Linked DNA regions of Callithrix jacchus. The protein of the gene in region 2 purifies or fractionates together with the protein of the main gene of each other region. This does not show direct contact. Links are inferred from orthologs where the notes say so. Each region holds a gene or a part of one and is shown on either strand. Other genes may lie near its edges.

Region 1 (6,779 bases), on a different chromosome or scaffold from region 2:
CTAACCTGTAGACCTCGCTGGTGCAGCCCAGCTCTATGCTTCCAGACACAAGCACCTCCTGCAGGATGATAAGCACCAGGGCAAGACTGGTGGAGCTGACCTAGCACACTGAACAGTTGGCCAAGCAAGGCCTTACTGGTGGCACTCCCTCAGGCCATCCCACCCAGGGAGCAGCTGCCTCCAGACCCAGGCCGGCTCTGCCTTCCCTGCCTCCTCAAAAGGAAAGCAGATCCATGGCCCTTGGCTGGGGACGGGAGTGCAAGATTATGCCAGACTCGACAAGGCCTCTCCTTGCTACCCCTGGAGCTCCAGCAGGCTGGGCCTGCGACCAGTCTGCATCCACTCGCTCTGCAGGGCAGCTCCCTGACAGACCCTGCTCTTCCAGCTTCTGCCACCCTAAGCACTGGGCCGGCCCTTGTTCCTTGCCCTGGGAGAGGCCCACGCACAGAGGGCATCTCCAGCTGGAAATCACAGCCGGTGCCACCCAGAATGATCACCACCCTGGGGGTGTGGGGGAGGGCAGGGCCTGGCACTGACATCCCCCTCCCCTCCAGGAGCTGGTGAGCAGGCTGCTGCACGCGCACTTTAAGGATGACAAGACCAAAGGTGCAGGTGGGGTGCAGGTGGGAGCGGGGGTTCCCGTCCTCCTGTACCTTTCCCACAACTCTGCAGGGCCAAGGCCTTGGGGCGGGTGGGTTGCATCTGGAGCACCCAGCCAGGGCAGTGGGCAAGGGTCCCACATAACGTCTTCCCCCTGCCTTTCAGTTAGCGGGGACTCACTGCAGCTCATGGCGGAGCTGCTGAAGATCTTCGTTGTGGGTGAGCCCAGGGCCCAGGCCCCCTCCCAGGTGCAGTGTCCAGGATTCCTTTTGTTTTTCTAGCGGGAAAACCAAGACACGTTTTTCTGTTTCCCACAAGGGCCTGAACTTGGTCTCCTGGGCCTGTTGGTCAGGTGCTACAGCCTGGTTCTGGGGGTTGCCTGTGGATGTGGGTGGGGGCACTGGCTCAGGCTGAGGCCCAGTGGGCCTGGGTTTAAGATCTCCCAGCATCCCCCACTTCTCGAGTTTCTCACTGCAGAAGCAGCCGTCCGTGCGGTACGGCAGGCCCAGGCAGAAGATGCCATTCTTGTGGATGTGGACCAGCTGGAGAAGGTGCTTCCGCAGTTGGTGCGTGAATGCGGGTCGGTGCACAGGTGGGAGTGCCTGGCTGGCAGGCCGCACCTAAGCGCTTCTTCCCCACAGCTCCTGGACTTCTAGGGACCTCAGCCGTGGCTGAAGCCACCCCAGGGAAGTCCCTGGTCCACAGAAGCAGGTCTTGTGTTTCTAGTGGCTTCTGGTTGCAGACAGAGAAGGACCTGAGGGGTTTGGAGCTGATTCAAACAAGATCCCGAGATTCTCCAACCTTTGCAGAAGGGGCAGGACTGTAGTGCATTGCCACCCTTGGAGTGCCCACTGGAGACAGGCCCATGGGGGCACCTACAGGCAGGTGCTGGGAAAGGCCCAGCCAACAGGTAGACTGCATGTTTTACAAAGAGCAGCTGGCAGCGCCGCCTCCTGGCCACATTCCTGCTACCAACATCAAAGCTGATGTGACCTTCCCAGGCATCCGCTATTCCCCTCAGAAAATGGCTCCCCAGGCTATAAATTTGTTCTGACAAAGCAACATCAATAAATCAAAACTGTCTCTCCCAGCTTGGCCTTCTTGTTGCTATTAATCACTGAAGTCAGACTGCTTCAAAGCCACGCTCCCTGTGTGCACCCTTCCACCCCTGGTAAGACAAAAGCAAAGCACCAGGACAGGCTGGCTGACAGCATGTGTGCATGGGGCTGTGGAGCCCATACCTTGTATATGTGGCCGCCTACCTGGAAAATGTTACTCCAGCCCCAGAGGCTGGGGCAGCCCCAGGGCCTGCCACCAGTGGGCAGTGGCTTCCATGAATATTCTTGTGGCTGCAGGCAGGACCAGGATGCACAGGGTGAGAGGGACCTTGGCCCAAGGCCCTGCTGAAATGGAGGAAGGGCCTCCCCTTCTCTTCAACACCAGCCCCACGCAGTGCCGGGGGGTATGGGACAGCCCCCTCAGGCCATGCCTCCTGCCCATGTTTGGAGACACAGGGCTGTGGGACCTGCCTGGATGCCCTGTCCAGGTCTAGCTGCCCTCTGATTGTCAGAAGTCTGGCATGAGCTCCACCTGTGCCAACACCTGGGAAGCAGCAGGGCCTTGGGCCACTTCCCCTCCAGTGCCCTGCCAGGTGCCTTAGCCCACCTCACTTTAGCTCCCTAGTTAGAGCCCAGGACTGTGAACACCCAAGGGGCTTTCAGTTGAGTGCCATCCTGGGGCCCCATGCAGGGAAGGTTAGAACACAGGGAGTCAGATTCCAGGGTGGGAAAGACAAGAGCTGCCCCTTGGGGATCACTGGAGGCGGCCCAGCCTCTCCTCCCCTGGTGCTCTAAGACAACTTTGGGGTAAGCCTTTCCATCCTTGATTTAGCCCCACTGGCCCTGGCCAGGCAGAGCTGCTGCTGGGATCCACCCCTTCCCCACCCTGCCCACCCAAGTAGGTCTGTCTGAAAGCCCTGGGAAGCCTGTGGAAATTGTTAGGCTTGCAAGGCCAGGCCCTGCCCTAAAGATGGGGTGGCCTACTAACTCCCCCAGCTCCTGGCCCAGGCTTGGTTCTTGGGTTGTAGGCAATCTGCCCAAAAAGCCCTTCTTCCAGCACTTCTGTTTCTCTGGGAGGAGGAGTAAATACTGTTAGGAGACCCACTCGGGTTCAGGATGCACACCTCGGCCCGGCGAGTGGCCACCGAGGCCCACACCATGGTCCACCAGGACCCTTGGGCCTGGACACTCCAGTCAGGCCAAGCCAGGGTGGACAGGGGCCCCTGCTGGAGAAAGTACGACAGGAAGCACTGAAGGACGCACAGTCTTTATTCCTGCTGGCAGGGGAGGTGGTCCTGTGGCTGGTGGGCACCTCAGGCTGGCAGCTCACCTCTTGTTGGCTGTAGTGCAAACACACCAGGGTGACCACAGGCCCTGGGCTCTCGCTGCCCAGCCACCCGCTCACTGGCCTGGCCGAAGCACTAGCTCTCCAACCCCCACTGCAGCACCCAGCCCCCCTGCCCCCCAACCAAATTCAGCATGCGGCCCCCCCATCCCCGCAGACCACAGCACCCTGTGCCCCCACACGTCCTCCACCTGGTCGAAGCCCCCTGCCCTCCACCCGGCCACAGTACCTGGCAGCTTCAGCCACTTGGGCACCTTGCCCAGGCTCCTCTTCACAGGCGGAACCATCTCTGAGATGGGCTCAGTGGGGCCCAGCGCCCCCTCCTCAGCAGGTGGCTCAGACTCAGGTGCAGGGTTAGGGGCTGGCAATGGGGAAGGGGACCTGGTGGCTCTGGACATGTACCTGGGGGGAGGCAAAGACACAGGGTGGTGGGTGTCGCTGAGGGAGGAGCCCCCAAACCCACTGGCACTTACCTGGCCACCAGCACGTCGGCCGCGGATGGGGAGATGGTGCGCTCCAGCAGGCCAGGCTCCAGGTAGACACCTGCAGGGAGGCCCAAGCCCACCCTCAGCCTCGGAGAGGCCCACCCTTATCTGCCCAGCAACCAGCCACCAGCACTCAGCTCTGGGAGCAGGGTGGCCAGCAGGTGGCTGTCCCAGCCCTCCCTCTGAGAGGTGGGTATTGGAAGCCTCAGACCTCCCTCCCAGATCCAAATGAGGCCCCAGACTGAATGCCCTCTGGGGCAGCTAGCTTTGAGGTCCCGGACGGGCTGGCCAGGCTCTGATGCCCCAACCACTGACACTCACCTGCTGGTTCCTTGGCTCCAAAGTGCACCAGAGCAGCCGGGAAGAGGTTCGCCTGCAGGGAGGGCAGGAGACTCAGGAGCCGGGCGGGCACCGTGGGCAGAGCACCCCTTCTGCTGCGGAGGCAGCCACACCTCCAAGCCCAGGCCCTGCTGATGGCCACAGCTCCACCCTCAGGCAGTTTCCACCTGCCCAGTCCCATGAGCCCCTCATTGCCCAGCTTCCTGTCCCGACTCTGGCACCAACCCTACCACTGTAAGCAAGCCCAGGGCATCCTAGGACCACCAGCGCCCTCCATGGGACCACCCCAAGCCCCAAGCCAGCTGCAGGCTAGGGCCCTGAGGGTCCCTGAGTCATGCAGTGTCACAGTCCTCCTTGCTCTGGACTCTGCACCTCAGGAAGGCGGGGTGGGGCAGGGCCTGACGGATGCCTCGGGACCACTGTGGAGTGCTGCAGCTGCCAGGCTGAAGGCATCCCCCTCCCGGCTCCAGGCTGCTCGGGGCCACAGTCTGGGGTGGGGCTGAGGGATGTTAAAAGATTAATAAGAGGAAGCTTCAAAGGCCAGGCCCAGGAACGCTGAAACCTCAGCCTCCAGCCGGGGACACAAACAAGGGCCGTGAATGCTTTGAAAACCCAATTGTGCCGCCTGGGATCAAAGCCTTGTGAGGAGAACAGGGCCTGCGGGGTGGGCAGGGGCTGCCCCAGTGGCCCTGGAAAGGCATCGGAAGCTGGGGAGCCAGGAAGAGGGCACCAGGAGGACAGCGCCAGGAGCCACTGTGGTCTCAGCCTCACAGATAAGAGCGCCATAGGGCCTCTGGGATTCACACCCAGGCTGCAGCCGCCCACAGAAGCCCAGGGACACTGCCTGGAGGCTGCTGTGGGCACCAGAGGCCTAGCCAGCCCCATCTGTGTCCCACCTGCCGCCAGGCAAGAAGAATCCCTCAGAAGCCACTGATACTGAGGCACCTGGTTTTCATCACTGCCCCCACAGGCCATGACCCTCCCAGCACTGCCCCACAGGATGTACAGAAAGGGGCAGCTGGGGCTCAGGATCACGAGGAGGGAAGTAGTCTTGGCAGTCAGTGGCGAGGAGGGTCAGCAGACTGGGTGGCATGGACGCTGCAGTGCTGGGAGAGGCTTGGCCTCTGGATGGACCCCAAAAAAGGAGCCTCCCAAAGTCTCATATCACCTCCATCTTGCACTGTGAGAAACGGTGCTCTCTGCCCTGGTTTCCAGGGGCCACTTCAGCAAGGGACCAGGGTGGATGGAGCTGGGTCTAGACACGAAATGTGAGTCACAATGGACACCCCCGCCCCCCACCCACCACTCAGAGCAGGGCCCAGAAAGGGCCTGAGGGAGGCGCAGGCTGAGGGGCCTGTCCCTACCAGCACTGTCCTGGCTCCCTGGGCTGACAGGGAAAAGAGGAACGCCCACCCTGCCCTGACACAACCTGAGGGCCTGGGACCATGCACTTATCTTTGAAGATATCTCACTTATCTTTGAAAAGATAAGTGATGTGAGATGACATCAAAGGCAGGTCTAGTCCAGTGTGATTCCTCAAGAAATGAGGACACAGACCACACACAGAAGTGACACCGCAAGGACGCCAGTCTGCCAGCCACAACGGAAGCCTGAGAGGAGCCAGCACAGCCACCCTGGAGCCAGCCCCTCCCTAGCTGCTGCCCAGCACACTGGGGCCCCAAATCCTGCCCCCTCTGCTGCCAGCCCCTTGCCACACTCAGTGTTGCCAGGAAGAGCTTCTGAAAGGAGGTCCAGGCCAACCCTCGTGGGCAGCGACTCTGCAGGAGCAGCATGCACGTGGCCCGGTGCCCCGGTCGTCCCCACGGGCAAGAATGGCACCACCCTCCGGGGAAAAGCAGCCAAGAGAAAAGCCTTATGGCCCAAGATACCCAGGCATGGGGTGGCACCACGGTACCCAGGCAGGGAGAGACAGGGCAGCCACCCAGAGTGGATGACATCCAAGGTGGGTCTGTTCCAGTGTGAATTCTCATGAGATGAGGACACAAAATGCTCACAGAGGTGACCATGCGATGACAGAGGTAACTTCTGCCAGCCACAACAGAAGCCTGACAGGGGCCAGCCTAGCCATCCCCTGAGCTTGGACCCCAGGCCTCCGGGATAGTGGGCCTTCGTCACAGCCACCCCAGTGGACTCAGGGTTCCCCAGTACATCCAGTCCCCAGGAGGGTCCCAGTGGGGTGAGGACAGTGGAATGGGGACCACAGATGGGGCGGAGAAGGCAGCGGGAATCACCCGTGAAGGAAGTCTGAGAATCTCCTCTCACACCCACAGGTCCCCTGTGGCTCCCCTCCCCACTCCCACCTCAGAGAGAAAGGTCCAGCCTCTCTATCCCCAGGACCACAAAGAAGGGCTGGCCCCAGGCTTCCTGCAACCCAGAGTTGCTTCCCCTGCTCCAGACACAGGGTGGCCACAGCCAGACCCCCCTCGGGAGGGGGATGGCCAAGTCTGGAAGGAGGTCCTGACCAAGGAACTCACCGCCAGGTCCACTCAGCCCATCATGGCCGGCATTGGCACTGGAGGTGAGTCTCATCTGATCCAGGCCAGGTGGACATGCACAGGAAGGTCTCTGGGCAGGGCTCAGTCCCCAGGGCAAGCTCGTGCCTGTGGGCCCCCACCCCTTGTCTCGTTTTGCTCTGGACAAGGAGACAGGACGTGCCAGGGCCCAGGCTGGAGCTGCCGGGTTGAGGCCTTGGGAAAGGACCCCTGGGGGAGCTCCTCTGGAACCAGGCCTCCCTGCCCCACTGGCTGCCCACCAGAAGTCCCCTGCCTGCTGGCTGTGTCTCTGGGATCCCAGTGGAATGAGGGACAGAGGGACAGACCACCATGGCCACGGGGAAGAAATCTCTACTCTCTGCTCAGTTCTGGCCCAGACTCCAGACCCCAGCCTAGACGAGCACAGCAAAGTGACGGGACGACAACTGGCCAGGTGCTT
Region 2 (8,374 bases):
GCTGAGATGACACCACTGCACTACAGCCTGGGCAACAGAGTGAGACTCCATCTCAAAAGAAAGCACATTTTCTTTTGGCTGGGCTCCATGGCTCACGCCTGTAATCCCAGCACTTTGGGAGGTTGAGGGGGGCAGATCACTGAGGTTAAGAGTTCAAGACCAGCCTGGCCAACATGGTGAAACCTCGTCTCTAATAAAAATACAGAAAAAAAAAAATAGGTGGGCATGGTAGCACGTGCCTGTAATCCCAGCTACTCGGGGAGGCTAAGCCCGGAGAATCTCTTGAACCCAAGAGGCAGAGGTTGCAGTGAGCCAAGATCGTGCCACCACACTCCAGCCTGGGCAACAGAGGAAGACTCCATCTCAATATATATATGTATAATAATTTTTTTTTTTTGCCAGAGCACAGTGGCTTATACCTGTCATTCCAGCACTTTGGAAGGCCAAGGGAGGCAGATTACCTGAGGTCAGGAGTTCAAGACTAGCCTGTCCAACATGATGAGACCCCATCTCTACTAAAAATACAAAAAATTAGCCAGGCACGGTGGAGCAGGCCTGCGATCCCAGCTATTCAGGAGGCTGAGGCAGGAGAATTGCTTGAACCCAGGAAGCAGAGGTTGCAGTGAGCTGAGACAGCACCATTACACTCCAGCCTGGGTGAGAGAAGCAAAAACTCCATATCAGAAAAAATAATACATTTACAGTTCCAACACCTTTACACTGGTTGGGCAAGGTGGCTCATGCCTGTCATCCTGGGTTTTACCATATTGGCTTTGGGAGGCTGAGGTGGGAAGATCACTTGAGATCTATACCAGCCTGGGCAACCTAGTGAGACCCCATCGCTACAATTTTTTTTTTTTTGAGGCGGAGTCTCGCTCTGCTGCCAGGCTGGAGTACAGTGGCAGGATCTTGACTCACTGCAACCTCCCACTCCCCATTTCAAGCAATTCTTCTGCCTTGGCCTTCTGAGTAGCTGGGATTACAGGCGCCCGCCACCACGCCCAACTATGTTTTGTATTTTTAGTAGAGACAGGGTTTCATCATGTTGGCCAAATTGATCTTGGAACTCCTGATGTCAGATGATCCACCTATTTTAGCATCCCAAAGTGCTGAGATTACAGGCATGAGCCACCACACCTAGCCCTTTTCTTTTTTCTTCTTTTTTTAGAGATGGCAGTCTCACTGTGGCGTCAGGGCTGGTCCTGAAGTGCTGGACTCAAACAATCTTCTTGCATCAGCCTCCCAAAGAGCTGGGATTACTGCGTGAGGCACCACAGCCAGCCAAAAAAAAAAAAAAAAATACATCATTATTTTTTGAGACGGAATTTTGCTCTGTCACAAGGCTGGAGTGCAGTGGCTTGATCTCGGCTCACTGCAACCTCTGCCTTCTGGGCTCAAGCGATTCGCCTGCCTCAGCCTCCCGAGTAGCTGGGATTACAGGCACGTGCCACCACACCCAGCTCATTTTGTAATTTTAGTAGAGACGGGGTTTCACCATCTTGGGCAGGATGGTCTCGATCTCTTGACCTCGTGATCCGCACGCCTCGGCCTCCCAAAGTGCTGGGATTACGGGCATGAACCAACAAGCCAGGGCAAAAAGTGTATTTTTAAACATAACTACCTGCCAGGCATGGTGGCTCTCATCTGTAATCCCAGCACTTTGAGAGGTCAAGCTGGGCAGATCATGCAGGAGATTGAGACCATCCTGGCTAACACAGTGAAACTCCATCTCTACTAAAAATGCGAACATTTAACCGGTCATCGTGGCATGGTGCCTGTAGTCCCAGCTACTCAGGTGCCTGAGGCAGAAGACTTGCTTGAATCGGGGAGGCGGAGGTTACAGTGAGCCAAGACTGTGCCACCCCGCTCCAGCCTCGGTGACAGAGTGAGACACCATCTCGGAAAAAAAAAAAAATAACTACCATACCATTATCACCACTAAGAAAATTCAGAATAGCTCCTTTCTATCGTGTAATGCCCAGACATATTCACATTTCCCTGGTGGTCTCAAAAATATCCTCTTACTGTCCCTGATGACACCTTTCGTGTCGCAAACCGCTCTTTCTATAATGCCATGTGCCCTGACACAGATTTCCTTTACTGATTATATTATGTTTTCACCCAGACTCCCCCCAGAAACTGATGAGCATGAGCCCTATGAGGGGAAAGAAGTTTGCTTCCTCATTGTGGGTACAGAGCTGACTCTGAAGAAAGGAGAAAAGCATTTTGACATCTGCCTTTAACTGAAATACTGTGTGTGTGTGTGTGATGGAGTCTCGTTCTGTCACCAGGCTGGAGTGCAGTGCTGAGATCTCGGCTCACTACAGCTTCTACCTCCCGGGTTCAAGTGATTCTCCTGCCTCAGCCTCCTGAGCAGCTGGGATTACTGGCGCCCTTAGAGACAGGATTTCACCATGATGGCCAGTCTGGTCTTGACCTCCTGACCTCAAGTGATCTGCTGGACTTGGCCTCCCAAAATGCTAGGATTACAGGCGTAAGCCACTGCAACTGACCCCCAATTCCCTTTTTTTGAGGCTTAACTGTCACTTTATCTTTCTTTGCAGAATGCACAGCCCAAAGATGCCACTATTAACTGGTTTCTCTCTGTCTTGCCCGACAAAGTGGATCCCCAGGTCCCAGTCAAGTGCATTGTATTCAACAGCTCCTAGATAAGGTGCATGGGCTGGGGTGGGGCGGGGGGCGGTCAGGGACCAAAACAGGGCCAGATCGTGGGGGCCTCCAATGCCCCACATTGAATTGGGACTTTATCACGTAAGCTCTGAGCAGACAGGGAAGGTTAGTTTTGTGTTTGTTTTGTTTTGGGCAAAATCTCTCTCAGTGGCCCAAGCTGGAATGCAATGGCTTCATCACAGCTGACTACAGCCTGGACCTCCTGGGTTCAAGCAATCCTCCCGCCTCAGCCTTCCAAGTAGCTGAGACTATACAGGCACGGGCCACAACTCTCACCTAATTTATTTATTTATTATTTTTTTGACACCAAGTTTTGCTTTTGTTGCCCAGGCTGGAGTGCGATGGCTTGATCTCAGCTCACCACAGCCTCCAACTTCCGGGTTCAAGCGATTCTCCTCGCTTCATCCTCCCAAGTAGCTGGGATTACAGGCATGTGCCACCACGCCCGGCTAATTTTGTATTTTTGGTAGAGACGGGGTTTCTCCGTGTTGGTCAGGCTGGTCTCGAGCTCCCTACCTCAGGTGATCCACTCGCCTCGGCCTCCCAAAATGCTGGAATTACAGGCGTGAGCCATCGCGCCCGGCAACAATTAAAAAAAAAAAAAAATTTATGGAAAACATGGTTTTGCCATGTTGCCCAGGGTGGTCTCCAACTTCAGTCAAGCAATCCTCCCACCCGATTCCCCGAAAGTGCTGGGATTGCAGGCGTGAGCCACCGCGCCCAGCTTAGGTTGAGCAGCGAACAGGTCAGGGCCCAGTACTTTCTCTGCGAGGTTCAGTCGGCCTGTCCCTCTCCCATCAACGTTTGTCACCGTTTATGGAGCCCCACGGAAGGCGCCAGGCAAGGCACTGTAGCCAATCTAGAAGCGCGCTCGTCGCCCTGGCAACGTAGTCCGGCAGAACCACAGAGACGCGGCTCCGGCGTACAGAGCGTCCGCCCTGGGCCGCGAGGCACCGAGCCGTAGAGCGGCACGCCGGGCTGATTGTCACGTGGCTGGTGTCGGAGAGGCGGGACTTCCGGCGGCCCGGTATTTTTTTTCCGGTGGTTGGTCCTGGGCGGCCCCTCCCCGACTGGGCCCCGTGCCCCCCGCCCCTGCGGCCCCCAGCCGCCGGGCCAGCCGCCACCATGAAGAAATTCTTTCAGGAGTTCAAGGCCGACATCAAGTTCAAGAGCGCGGGACCCGGTCAGAAGCTCACGGACTCCGTGGGGTGCGTGAGGATCGCTGGGGCTTGAGGCCCTGAGGGGCGGGGACGGCCGGGGAGAGAGGTCTGGGGCCTCGAGGTGCGCGGGAGATCGGAGGGCGAGGGGCTGAAAGCGGCGGCGGCGAATGAGGGAAACGGGAGAGGTGCCGGGGGCGGGGCAAGTGGGGCCTAGGTGGGCGTCGTGGGCGTCAGGGGGAGGGGAGAGCGGAGAGCGGCCTGGGGGCGGGGCAGGAGGGCGTGTGGGAGGGACCCGGGGGCGGGTCGGGAAGAGGCGGGGGAAGGGGCCAGGAGGGTAGTTGTCAGTGGTCGGGCCTCGGAGGCTGTGGCGGGGGTCTAGGGCGACGGGGCTGCAGCAAGTTGGGAGTCAGTGGAGCGACCCTGGGGGAAAAAAGGGATGATGAGTCCGGAGGCGGGTGGTGAGGGAGAGGTCTGGGGACCCGGCTGGTTCTGAAGCGGCCCGGATGATTTGGGGGAATTTGGGTGACCAGGGATGGGAGCTGAGCGTGGAGGAGGACACACACTGTGGGGCATCCATGGGAAGAGGGGATGTGGGCTTGGGATCTGGAGCACGTGGGAGGTTGACGACAGACTAGGAAGTCTGGAAGGCCAGGGAAGTGGTGGTGGGCAGAGTCGTCAGTGACCTGGGAGGTCCCTGCGAATTGGGAGTGAAGGGCTGAGAACGGTGTGCGAGGAGACTGGAGGTGAAGGACTGACAGATGGTGGTGGGAGGGGAGGGAAAGGAGGTAGCTGCCAGGCCTACTTCTGGATTGTCTAGGGAAGACTTCGAGAGAAGGGCCTGGGCAGGGCTAAGCCAGCTGGGATGGCACATGGAAGGTAGGGGAAGAGGTGGAACCGGGGACAGTGTGAGGCTGAGGGCTGCTGGGTTGAGAATAGGGAACCTGGAGAGCTGGGGCCGCTGCAGGGAGCTGGCTGGCCAGGGAGTGGTGGGGACCGACGGAGAGTGAAGGGGAAGGAGGTCAGCCAGGCTGCCAGGGCAGGGGTCTATAAGCAATAATGGAAGGGATTGTGAAGAGGTGGGGCTGGGAAGGGGTAGGAGGAGATGCAGGGAGGTGGCAGGAAGTGCGGGTCAGGGAATCACGGGCAGTGGGGTGGTGATGGAGGGAGGGCCATAGTGAGGACGTTGGGGTTCCTGGGGGAGAGGCTGAGCAGGAAAGCAAAGGAGGGAGAGGGGTCAGGGACAGAGGGGTCAGGGAGAGAGGTGGGCAAATGGGGGGAGCCCTTCATTGATTCAACCAATAGTGGGTGAACGGGGTACTAGAGCCACTGGGACTGGGCGTGACAGGAAGGATCCAGGGTGTGAGGGCGATGGCTGGATCAGCCCAGAGCCCAGGCATAGGGGGGAAGATTGGAGCGGAGGGGCGGGCGGGAAGGGACGGGAAGGAAAGGAAAGGCGTGCAGAGGTCCCTTTTGGAGTGATACTCCAGGGTGTGTGGGGCGGGTGGGCACCAAGTCCTGTTTTGGGCTGCAGTGGCGGACAGGACAAGGCGGCTGCTTTCCCAGGGCTCACCACCTAGTGGGAGCCGATTGGTAAATAAACCAACAAGCCTGGGATGAGAGCTCAGGCAGTGCCCAGGGCCTCGAAATAGGGTGAGCAGGGACCGCCAGGTGGTCCGGGAAGACCTCTGCCAGGACAGCGAGACTTCAGCTGTGAGGAAATCAGCCCCCTCCTTCTCTCCCTGTGGTAGCCCTAGCCCTTTCCAGATCCCCTGACCTCCTCCCACCCCCCAGGAGAACATTCTGGGCAGAAGGCGCAGACAGTGCAGGGCCGTACAACGGGGAGCAGTTGGGGTGTGGGAAGAACGACAGGGAGCCCAGGAGAGATGGGGCCAGGCCAGGAAGGGCTCTCTGGGCCGAGGGAGGCCTTAGGATTTTGCAGTGGGAGGACATTATGCAGTGGAGTGACGCTGACGTTCCCTGAATGAGGTTCCAGAAGGGTCCCTGTGACTGCCCGGGGGAGCAGGGCCCACAGCCGGTTGGGGTGAGGCACCCTGGGAAATGCTGTTTTGTTGGAAAGACCTAGATATGGGATGGGGCCAGGGTGGGTCTTCATGAGTCATCTCTTCCACCCAATCTGCTCAGCTGCGGGAGGACGGGATAGGCAGGGGTGGGCACGAAGCAGGTTCCGGAAGCCTCCAGAGGAGGAGGGAGGGCTTCCCGGGAATCTGAGCAGAGCCAGAGGAGTATAGGGCTTGAACTGAGAGCCTGGTCTCCTGGAAGTTTTTACAGATCTATAGCATGGAAAGTGACAGCGCCTGAATTCACGGGAGGGGCCTGAGGAGATGGGCGAGACAGACGCATCCGAGCAGCTGGGAGAGAGGGCTGCTCTGCCAGGTCACTGTGCTCAGAGGATTACGGAATCCTCCTTGGCAGAGGGCTCCACAGGGCAGGGCCGTGATTACCTGAGCTCTTTGTACTTGCACAGCCCTGAGCCTGGCATGGAGTCACGTGGCCAGGGCAAGGCTGGTTCTGTTGTCAGCTGACCCCAGGGTCTTGACACAAGGGTGGCGTGGCATGGGGTACATCACCTGGACTTCTCAACAACCCTCTTGGGTTTGGGAACAGGGGATGGTGAGGTCTCCCTGACAGCTTGTTAGGAGGAGGAGTCAACCGACCCAGCCGCCTCCTGGGTTGATAGACTCAAGAGCTATCACATCCTCCCTCCCTCCCTGCCATAAAAGTCTGCACTCAGGGCCGGGCCCGGTGGCTCAAGCCTGTAATCCCAGCACTTTGGAAGGCTGAGGTGGGCGGATGACCTGAGGTCGGGAGTTTGAAACCAGCCTGACCAACGTGGAGAAACTCCATCTCTGTTAAAAATACAAAATTAGGCCGGGTACAGTGGCTCACGGCTGTAATCTGAGCACTTTGGGAAGCCGAGGTGGTGGATCACGAGGTCAGGAGTTCAAGACCAGGCTGGCCAATATGGTGAAACCCCGTCTTTACTAAAAATACAAAAATTAGCCAGGTGTGGTGGCAGGTGTCTGTATTCCCAGCTACTCGGAAGGCTGAAGCAGAGAATTGCTTGAAGCTAGGAGGCATAGGTTGCAGCGAGCCTAGATCACACCATTGCACTCCACCCTGGGCGACAGAGTGAGACTCTGTCTCAAAAACTAAATAAAGAAAAATAAATACAAAATTAGCCAGGCATGGTGGTGCATACCTATAATCCCAGCTACTCGGGAAGCTGAGGCAGGAGAATCCTGGGAGGCGGAGGTCACGCCATTGCACTCCAGCCTGGGCAACAAGATCGAAACTGTCTCAAAAGAGGAATAATCAGCCAGGATACAATACACTCAGTCTCCCTCGGTCTGTCCCCAGGGAAAAGGCCCTCAAAGAGAAACCCACCCAGCCAGCCCCCAGGCAGCCCCGCCAGGGACCCACCAATGAGGCACAGATGGCAGCCGCTGCCGCCCTGGCCCGGCTGGAGCAGAAGCAGTCCCGGCCCTGGGGCCCCACGTCACAGGACACCATCCGAAATCAGGGTGAGCTGTGGTCCTCCTCAGGCCCAGGTGGACACTGTTCGTGGGTCCCAGCCCTGGTGCAGAAGTCACATGAGCAACTGTGGGGTTGTGAGGGTCACCCTTGGAAGTGGCCCCCGAGAGCGGGGGAAGGGTGGCTTCCGGGGCAGGGGGAGCAGAGACTTGCAGCAGAAACCGGGGCTGCCCAGGCAGTGGGGTGCTGGCTCAGGCCGAGGGGTGGGTGCAGACCAAGCCCCACAGGGGCCCGGAACAGGTATGCTTGGCTCACAGGCCACCCCAGGAATGCGGGGGCTTGGGCCAGGGGAGAGGCCTGCACACCATCCCATCCCTGCCTCTCCCTCCTCGGCTTGCCTTCCAGTGAGAAAGGAACTTCAAGCCGAAGCCACCGTCAGCGGGAGCCCCGAGGCCCCAGGGACCAACATGGTAAGAACAGCCACTGGTGGCAGTGTCCCCTGCCCATGGGTGGGGACAGCTTGACTCTGTCACACGGGAGATGTGGCCTCTGCCCTTGGGGCTCTGGGACAGTTGGGAAACCTCGCCGTGATAGGCGGAGGTGGGTTGGGGTGAAACACAGTGCTGTGCGGGACCTTCAGGGCTCGGCCGCCGGCTGCCGAGGCTTCCCAGCTCAGGCCTGGGGAAGTGGACCTCGTGCGCAGTAGCCCAGTGGTCCCTCCCGTTAACCCCTTAAGGGCGCATCCAGTTACAGTTCCCACTTTTCAGAAAGAGAATGGGGGTTGAGAGGTGAAACCAGCAAAGGCAGGACCAGGACCAGAACCAGTCTGTGACTTCAGAGGCCGTACCCTAGTGCTGCCCTCTCCTGCCTGCCTTGGAGGTCAAGGGGCTCTGTGGAGATGGGTGTAATCAGGAAGGCCTGCCTGTAGGAGGTGGGCCTTGAGAGCTCTGCTGAAAGGAGTTCTAAGCAGCTTGACCTTCGAGGATTCAGTGAATTTTAGCCCGGCAAGGACCTTAAAGATGGCCTAGAAA
Region 3 (8,146 bases), on a different chromosome or scaffold from region 2:
ACTGCACCCGACCACTCTTGTGAAACACTTTTACATATACCTTTGGGCTCTCGGTCCTATAATTCTGAGCAGTGATCAGCTGTGACAAACATCTCATCCTATAGCAATCCAACCCAACCAAGATAGAGAAAAGCAATGCAAGGGGCTATTTGGGACTAGGGAAAATAAAAAAATGGGGAAAAAAGAAAAGGTATTGGTGGGAGTAACAGTAGAGGATGAGAAAGATCCTGAGGGTAAATACCCAAGCCATGGATACCTTTTTCAAAAATGTTGCTGCTGTTTCTCTCTTTGTTGCTGTGATCCGCTTCACTCCATCTGGGGACTGGACACGAATTATCTGTTGTAAATAAAATATGATGGTTACTGCACAGCCTAGTGAGGTCCTGCTCTACTGCTAAGGCTTACAGCTGTGGTCTTTTAGCATCTGAGTCACTAAAATTTAAAGCCAAACCTCATTTAAATCCTTCTCCTGTGATCTGGATTTAAAAAAAAAAAAAAAAAAGGGCGAAACGTCACTCTTCACTTTTCAATACTCAGCTCAATCTTTCTAGAAGATGAAGCCATGGCCGGGCGTGGTGGCTCAAGCCTGTAATCCCAGCACTTTAGGAGGCCGAGGCAGGTGGATCACGAGGTCAAGAGATCGAGACCATCCTGGTCAACATGGTGAAACCCCGTCTCTACTAAAAATACAAAAAATTAGCTGGGCGTGGTGGCGCATGCCTGTCATCCCAGCTACTCAGGAGGCTGAGGCAGGAGAATCGCCTGAACCCTGGAGGCGGAGGTTGCGGTGAGCTGAGATCGCGCCATTGCACTCCAGCCTGGGTAACAAGAGTGAAACTCCGTCTCAAAAAAAAAAAAGAGTACTGTCCTCTCAACCCTTAGTTTCACTTGGAAAACAACTTTATTTCCTAACCACTATTTATAGAGTATATGTGAAATGCTTTTTGACTCTTCAAACTTAAAAACTATCTCCAGGCTTAACTTGGAAAAAAAAAAAAAACCCACCATGAACCATGAAGGAACCGTGTTCTTTATAAAAGATGTTCTTTGTTCCAGGATCTATACACAAACTTTAGACAGTCTTTAAGAGTCCTACAATTAAAAGAATCATAGGAAATTTTCTAATTGTTACTTATTTTTTTTTTTACTTTTTTGAGACAGGGTCTTGCTGTCACCCAGGCTGAAATACAGTAGCAAAATCACAGCTTACTGCAGCCTTGACCTCCAAGGTTCAAGTGATCCTCTGAACTCAGCCTCCTAAGTCCCTGGGACCACAGGCCTGCACCACCAGTTCAGGTTAATTTTTTCTTTTTTTTTTTTTGTAGTGATGGAGTATCACCAGTATACTGCCCAGGCTGGTCTCAAGCTCCTAGGCTCAGGTGACTCTGCCACTGTGCTGGAATTTCAGGCATGAGCAACCACACCTAGCTGTTATTTACTTTCTGTAAAAAAGATTTTAATATGGTCAGGCACAGTGGCTCACATCTGTAATTGTAATACTTTGGGAGGACAAGGTGATGGATCACTTGAGCTGAGAAGTTCAAGACCAGCCTGGGTAACATAAGGAAACTTCATCTCTACTAAAAATACAGAAGTTAGCCAGGCATGGTGGCACACGCCTGTGGTCTCAGCTACTTGGGGAATTGAGACATGAGAATTACTTGAACCAGGGAGGTCAAGTTTACAGTGAGCTAAGATGGTTCCACTGTACTCCAGCATGGGTGACATAGTAAGACCCTGCCTCAAAAAAAAAAAAAAAAAGAGAGAGAGATTAAAGTTAAAAACAACAATGGTCATTAATGGTAAAATTTAGCAGGGTTTTAAAAAAATATTTTCGGTTGGGCACAGTGGCTCATGCCTGTAATCCCAGCACTTCAGGAAGCCAAGGCAGAAGGATCCCTTTAGCCCCAGAATTCAAGATCAGCCTGGCCAACACAGCACGCTTGACTCCATCCTAATTTAATATGTATGTATTTTATTTATATATATATATATATATATATATTTTTTTTTTTTAAGTATTTTTTTTTCCCATGGTAAGCCTAAAAAGGGGGCAGATCTGGAATACTATGGGACAAAGAGCATTACTTCCTAAGACGACTTCGTTTTTATGCTGATGAAAGCCATTGTGAAGGTGAGCTATAATGCCTAGCCAACAGTACAGGTCCCTGTTCACATAGGGAGGATGAAATGGCATGCTCTGCAACAAACAAAGACCTGCTCCAACCACCTGCAGACGGGAAGGAGGCTGATAGGAGCATGCTGCAAGTGCTGGTGTCCTAGCTTCTCCTCTCAGCAATGACTGGTAGTGCACTGCAGAGCTTCTATTTCTTGCATTATCATCTGTCTTTAGCTCATTTTTTTCTTTTTTTTTTTTGGAGACGGAGTTCACTTTAGTGGCCCAGGCTGGAGTGCAATGGTGCAATCTCGGTTCACTGCAACCTCCACCTGCCAGGTTCAAGCAATTCTCCTGCCTCAGCCTCCCAAGAGGCTAGGATTACAGGAATGCACCACAACACCCAGCTAATTTTTTGTATTCTTAGTAGAGACGGGGTTTCACCATGTTAGTCAGGCTGGTCTCGAACTCCTGACCTTGTGATCCACCCACCTCAGCCTCCCAAAGTGTTGGAATTACAGGCGTGAGCCATCACGCCTGGCCTGAAGACCGATTCTTGACACCTGGTAAAACTGCAGAGACTGTCACAATACTACAGCATGAACATTACTCCTCACCCAGTACTGCTCAGCTTCCCCCAGAAATCCCAAACCTTTCTTAATACTAATCAAAATTCGGCTGGGCTCAGTGGCTCATGCCTGTAAGTTCCAGCACTTTGGGAGGCTGAGAGAGGCAGATCACCAGAGGTCAGAAGTCCAAGACAAGCCTGACCAACATGGCAAAACCCAGTCTCTACTATAAATACAAAAAAATTAGCCGGGCGTTGTGGCAGGCACCTGTAATCCCGGCTACTCAGAAGGCTGAGGCAGGAGAATCCCTTGAACCCGGGAGGTGGAGTTTGCAGTGAGCCGAGACAGGGCCACTGCACTCCAGCCTGGTCAACAAAAGCAAAACTGTCTCAAAAAAAAAAAAAAATTAACCAAAATTCTGTCCAAGAGTCAGTTAATTTTTCCCCATCACATTTACTTTTGGGGAACAGCTTCTCACAAGTTAACGAGGGGCTGGTTTTCCCTGATTTTTCACTGACATTTTTTACCTTGGTAGGGATGACAATTCGTTTTTCCTTTTTTTGGAGATGCAGTCTCACTCTGTTGCCCAGGCTGGAGTGCAATGGCACGATCTCGGCTCACTGCAACCTCCACTTCCCAGGTTCAAGCGATTCTCCTGCCTCAGCCTCCCAAGGAGCTGGGATTACAGGCGCCAGGCACCACGACCGGCTAATTTTTTGTACTTTTAGTAGAGACGGAGTTTCGTCACGTTGGCCAGGCTGGTCTCGAACTCCTGACCTCACGTGATCCACCCGCCTCGACCTCCCAAAGTGCTGGGATTACAGGCGTGAGCCACTGCGCTCGGCTGACAATTCTCAGTTTCAGGTAAAAAGTTAAATCAACCTCATTTATGACATTCCTTTTAAAGAGGAGTTGTCAAGTTTTCCTTCCTAGAAGGAGCAAAGCCGGGAAGTTACTGCGTTTTCATTTTCCCAGCTCCACCGGCGGGGAGGGAGCTCTGTAACGTCCCCGTCTGCAGTTGCTCTCCTCAGTGATTCATGACAAGGCACTTGCTGGGAAGGGGGAGAGCGGTAGAAGAGAATCGGAGGGAGATTGGGGTAAGAAGTGGCCCTGGCTCTGAGAGGGGCAGGACTAGCTGGGAGTCCCTGGAACTGGACCAGGAAGTCTCCTGGAGCCGGGAACCGGGTGAGGAAGGAGGGCGGTTTCTCTTCGGCACAGTCAATTCTCCCTGCAGAAAGCCTCGGCCTTTCCCTGCCCAGGGCGGGGAACCGGGGTCGCGAGTCCGCCGGGAAGGGACAAGGACGGGAAGCAGCCGAGGGGGTGAAAGTCGCCGAGGGGGGCCCAGCCTCTGCTGAGAAAGCCCGGGTGAGAAAGGGGAAAGGAACCCGGTCGCGGGGCCGGCAGGCCCGCCTCCCCAGCAGGCCGCGGCCGGCAAATCTGCTGCCTCATCCCGGCGTCCCCGCTCCCGCCCGGCTGCCGCACTCACGATGCTCTCGGCCATGGTGGCCACTCCTGCCTCCGGGCTCGAGTCCCGGGCCGCCGCCGCCTGCTGCCCCAAGGGCCTCGCAGACCCGGCCGCGGCCTCAGACCCGGCCCCGGCCTCCCTACGCCGCCGCAACCGCCGCTCCAGCTTCGCCCGCCCGGCTCCGCCAGCCGCCGACGTCCTGGTGCCTCGCTCAAGACTCTCCCCTAGGCGCGCGGCCGGGAAACCAGGTTCCGGTCCCAGCAACGACTGGACGCATGCGCAGGGTGGTGCCGTGGACCCGCCTCCCCTCCCGGCACCGCGAGGAGGCGAATTTTGGAAAAATGCCCCGTCGATGACAACAAATGCTCGTCCTCGGAAACGCAAGCTGTACAGAAAAGCCCAAAAAGGAGGCAAAGACAAGCATCCGAAATCTCACCCAAAAATAGCTACTGCTGCGTATTACAGCGAATTATAATTGGGGAAATAGCATTCCAAACTTCCCTCCATGCACAGCTAAGGAGAGAAACAATTTCAGGGAGAGGACCACACCTTTGTTATTTTTTTTAAGTCTTTTTTTAAATTTAACATGAGACGGGAGCTGCGGTGGCTCTGGCCAGTTGTCCTGGCGCTTGAGGAGGCGAGGCTATGAGTTCAAGGCCAACCTGAGCAACATAAGAAGCTCTCATTGATTAACAAAAAAAGAAAAAATAAAAAAATTTTAACATGAGAAAAACAAATGAATAAAAAAACTACATTTCAGACCGGGCGCGGTGGCTTACGGCTGTAATCCCAACACTTTGGGAAGCTGAAGTGGACAGATTTCCTGGGGCCAGAAGTTCAAGACCCAGCAGGCCAACATGGTGAAACAAAATTAGGCCAGGCACGGTGGCTCACGCCTGTAATCTCAGCACTTTGGGAGGCGGAGGCAGGTGGATCATCTGAGGTCAGGAATTCGAGACCAGCTTGGCCAACATGGTGAAACCTATCTCTAATAAAAATACAAAAATTGAGGCCGGGCGCGGTGGCTCAAGCCTGTAATCCCAGCACTTTGGGAGGCCGAGGCGGGTGGATCACGAGGTCAAGAGATCGAGACCATCCAGGTCAACATGGTGAAACCCCGTCTCTACTAAAGATACAAAAAATTAGCTGGGCATGGTGGCTCTTGCCTGTAATCCCAGCTACTCAGGAGGCTGAGGCAGGAGAATTGCCTGAACCCAGGAGGCGGAGGTTGCAGTGAACCGAGATCGCGCCATTGCACTCCATCCTGGGAAACAAGAGTGAAACCCCGCCTCAAAAAAAAAAAAAAAAAAAAAATTACCCGGATGTGGTCTTGCATGCCTATATTCCCAGATTCTCAGGAGTCTGAGGCCGGAGAATCACTTGAAGTTGTGAAGCAGAGGTCACCGTGAGCGGAGATGGGGTCACCCTTCTCCAGCCTGGGTGACAGAGCAAGACTGTCTCCATCTCAAAAAGGAAAAAAAAAATTAGCTTGGTGAAGTGGCTCATTCCTATAATCCCAGCTACTCAGGAAGCTGAGGTAGTGAGGTAAGAGAATCACCTGAGATCAGGAGGTCAAGGCTGCGGTGAGCCAAGATCATGCCACTGCACTCTAGCCCAGGCAACAGAGTGAGACTTCATCTCAAAAAAAAAAAAACAGAAAAAAGACACCACTTCACAGATCTAAGGATTTTAGGAGCTGCATGCCAGGAAACTGGAAGACCAAATATATACATATTTCACAACATCACAATTTGAGAGTTCTTTTTAACTATGTTAAATTATATTGATTGATTAAATTATGTTAGTAATTCTATTAGTTTGCTCAGACTGCCATTGTAACTGCCCAATGGGTGGTCCCTGCCCACTGCCTAGACTTTATCAAGACAGGCCAATTGCAATAGAGAAAGAGTTTCATTCACCTAGAGCCAGCTGTTCGGGTTACCAGGGACTGGGGTTTTATTACTACTCAAAAAATCAGTATCCTCGAAAATTCGAGGATTGGAGGGTTTTTTTTTTTTCTTTTTTCTTTGAGACAGTTTCGCTCTTGTTGCCCAGGCTGGAGTGCAATGGTGTTTTCTCAGCTCACCAAAACCTCTGCCTCCCGAGTTCAAGCGATTCTCCTGCCCCAGCCTCCCAAGTAGCTGATATTACAGGCGACAGCCACCACGCCCAGATAATTTTGTATTTTTACTAGAGACAGGGTTTCTCCATGTTGGACAGGCTAGTTTCCAACTCCCAACCTCAGGCAATCTACCCGCTTTGGCCTTTCAAAGTGTTGGGATTACAGGTGTGAGCCACCAGGCCTGGCCAGGGAACAGAGTTTTAAAGGATAATTTGGTGGGTATGGGGTCAGAAAGTAGGGAGTGTTGATTGGTTGGGTCAGAGATGAAATGACAGGGAGTCAAAATTGTCCTCTTGGGCTGAGTCAGTTCCTGGGTCAGAGGCCACAGACCAGATGAGCCAGTTTATCAATCTGGGTGGTGCCAGCTGAACCATGGAGAGCAGGGTCTACAAAATATCTTCAGAGCTGATCTGTTTTACAATGGAGATGTTATCCTGAGGAGCAATTTGGGAGACTTAGAATCTTGTAGCCTCTCCAGATGCAGTGGTTCACACCTGTAATCCCAGCACTTTGGGAGGCCAAGGTGGGTGGATCACCTCAGGTCAGGAGTTCAAGACCAGCCTGGCCATCATGATGAAACCCCATCTTTAAAAAAAAAAAAAAAATCTTGTAGCCTCCAGCCGCATAACTCCTAAACCATAATTTATAATGTTGTGGCTAATTTGTTAATCCTGAAAAGGCAGTCTTGTCCCCAGGTAGGAAGGGAGTTTGTTTTGAAAAAGGGTTGTTATCACCTTTGCTTCAAAGCTAAACTATAAACTAAGTGCCTCCCGAAGTTAGTTCAGCCTATACCCAGAAATGAATAAGGACAGCTTGGAGGTTAGAAGCTAGATGGAGTCAGCTAAGTCCCATCCCTTTAACTGTAATAATTGTCTCAGTTATAATTTTTGCAAAGGTGGTTTTACCATGACAGACTGGTGGTTTAGAATTACTTTCTTCTCCTTTTTTTGGAGACAAAGTCTCACTCTGTTGCCCAGGCTGCAGTGCAGTGGCATGATCTCACTGCAACCTCCGACTCCCAAATTTAGGCAATTCTCCTGCCTCAGCCTCCTGAGTAGCTGGGACTACAGGCATGCGCCACCACGCCCAGCTAATTTTTGTATTTTTAGTAGGAACAGGTTTTCACCATGTTGGTCAGTCTAGTCTCGAACTCCTGACCTTGTGATCCGCCCGCCTCGGCCTCCCAAAGTGCTGGGATTACAGGCGTGAGCTACCGCACCTGGCCGGTTTGGAATTACTTTCTAACAGTCCTAGAACTAGAATCCCAGATCAAGTTGTCAATAGATGTGGTTTCTCCGGTTTTTTGGTTTTTTTTTTTGTTTGTCTTTTTTTTTTTTTTGAGACTGGGGTCTCACTCCCGTCGCCCAAGCTGGAGTGCAGTGGCAGGATCTCAGCTCACTGCAATAGCTCCTGAGTAGCTGGGATTACAGGTGCATGCCACTTCACTTGGCTAATTTTTTTTTCTTTTTTGAGAAAGATTCTTGCTCTGTCACCCAGACTGGAGTACAGTGGCCCAGCCAACACTGTTTCATTCTTGCAGTGAACAAACCCGGGGGGATAGATTGGCACTGGGGCTGCCAATGGGTCTCTTGGTTTTGGAGTTGTTTGCAGGGGCCTGACTCCCTGGTTGGGAGCTGATGGAGTGGCTGCTGACCCTGCCGAGCTGAAGTCCGCACGGGGGCCCTGCAGTGACAGCCACAAGGCTGCACCCAAACATCCCTGCCCAAGTCGCACCTGCGCAGAGCTTAGGAGATCCACAGAGCCAGCGCTGGGGAGAAATGTGTCTCCACAAGCAGAGACCGCCTTAAGCTCTAAAATGTGATTCCTCACATGACTCAGCTGTGACTCTGGCATCTGGGTAGGGCTTGCAGCTC

Evidence for each region.
Region 1: the proteins of UBXN6 (region 2) and ASPSCR1 purify together in Homo sapiens (affinity purification with mass spectrometry; 4 studies listed by BioGRID and IntAct, counting the BioPlex papers as one, with this or other methods). This does not show direct contact. The link is inferred for Callithrix jacchus from reciprocal best matches to the Homo sapiens genes UBXN6 and ASPSCR1.
Region 3: the proteins of UBXN6 (region 2) and NPLOC4 purify together in Homo sapiens (affinity purification with western blotting; 3 studies listed by BioGRID and IntAct, with this or other methods). This does not show direct contact. The link is inferred for Callithrix jacchus from reciprocal best matches to the Homo sapiens genes UBXN6 and NPLOC4.

The regions. Positions count from the first base shown.
Region 1 is NC_133506.1:137,619,024-137,625,802, reverse strand, and holds the end of ASPSCR1 (tether containing UBX domain for GLUT4), read right to left. Parts: intron 5,438-6,779; exon of another isoform or gene 4,327-5,437; coding exon 4,200-4,326; intron 3,862-4,199; coding exon 3,810-3,861; intron 3,547-3,809; coding exon 3,477-3,546; intron 3,406-3,476; coding exon 3,233-3,405; intron 2,999-3,232; coding exon 2,985-2,998; 3' UTR 2,910-2,984; downstream 1-2,909. Other genes in the region: CENPX (centromere protein X), read left to right, coding at 555-612, 766-848, 1,078-1,166, 1,242-1,275. UniProt on the Homo sapiens protein: Tethering protein that sequesters GLUT4-containing vesicles in the cytoplasm in the absence of insulin. Modulates the amount of GLUT4 that is available at the cell surface. Enhances VCP methylation catalyzed by VCPKMT.
Region 2 is NC_133523.1:4,201,052-4,209,425, reverse strand, and holds the start of UBXN6 (UBX domain-containing protein 6), read left to right. Parts: upstream 1-3,709; 5' UTR 3,710-3,816; coding exon 3,817-3,899; intron 3,900-4,365; exon of another isoform or gene 4,366-4,713; coding exon of another isoform or gene 4,714-4,727; intron 4,728-7,229; coding exon 7,230-7,393; intron 7,394-7,748; coding exon 7,749-7,813; intron 7,814-8,374. UniProt on the Homo sapiens protein: May negatively regulate the ATPase activity of VCP, an ATP-driven segregase that associates with different cofactors to control a wide variety of cellular processes.
Region 3 is NC_133506.1:137,288,576-137,296,721, forward strand, and holds the start of NPLOC4 (nuclear protein localization protein 4 homolog), read right to left. Parts: upstream 4,364-8,146; 5' UTR 4,187-4,363; coding exon 4,172-4,186; intron 338-4,171; coding exon 257-337; intron 1-256. UniProt on the Homo sapiens protein: The ternary complex containing UFD1, VCP and NPLOC4 binds ubiquitinated proteins and is necessary for the export of misfolded proteins from the ER to the cytoplasm, where they are degraded by the proteasome.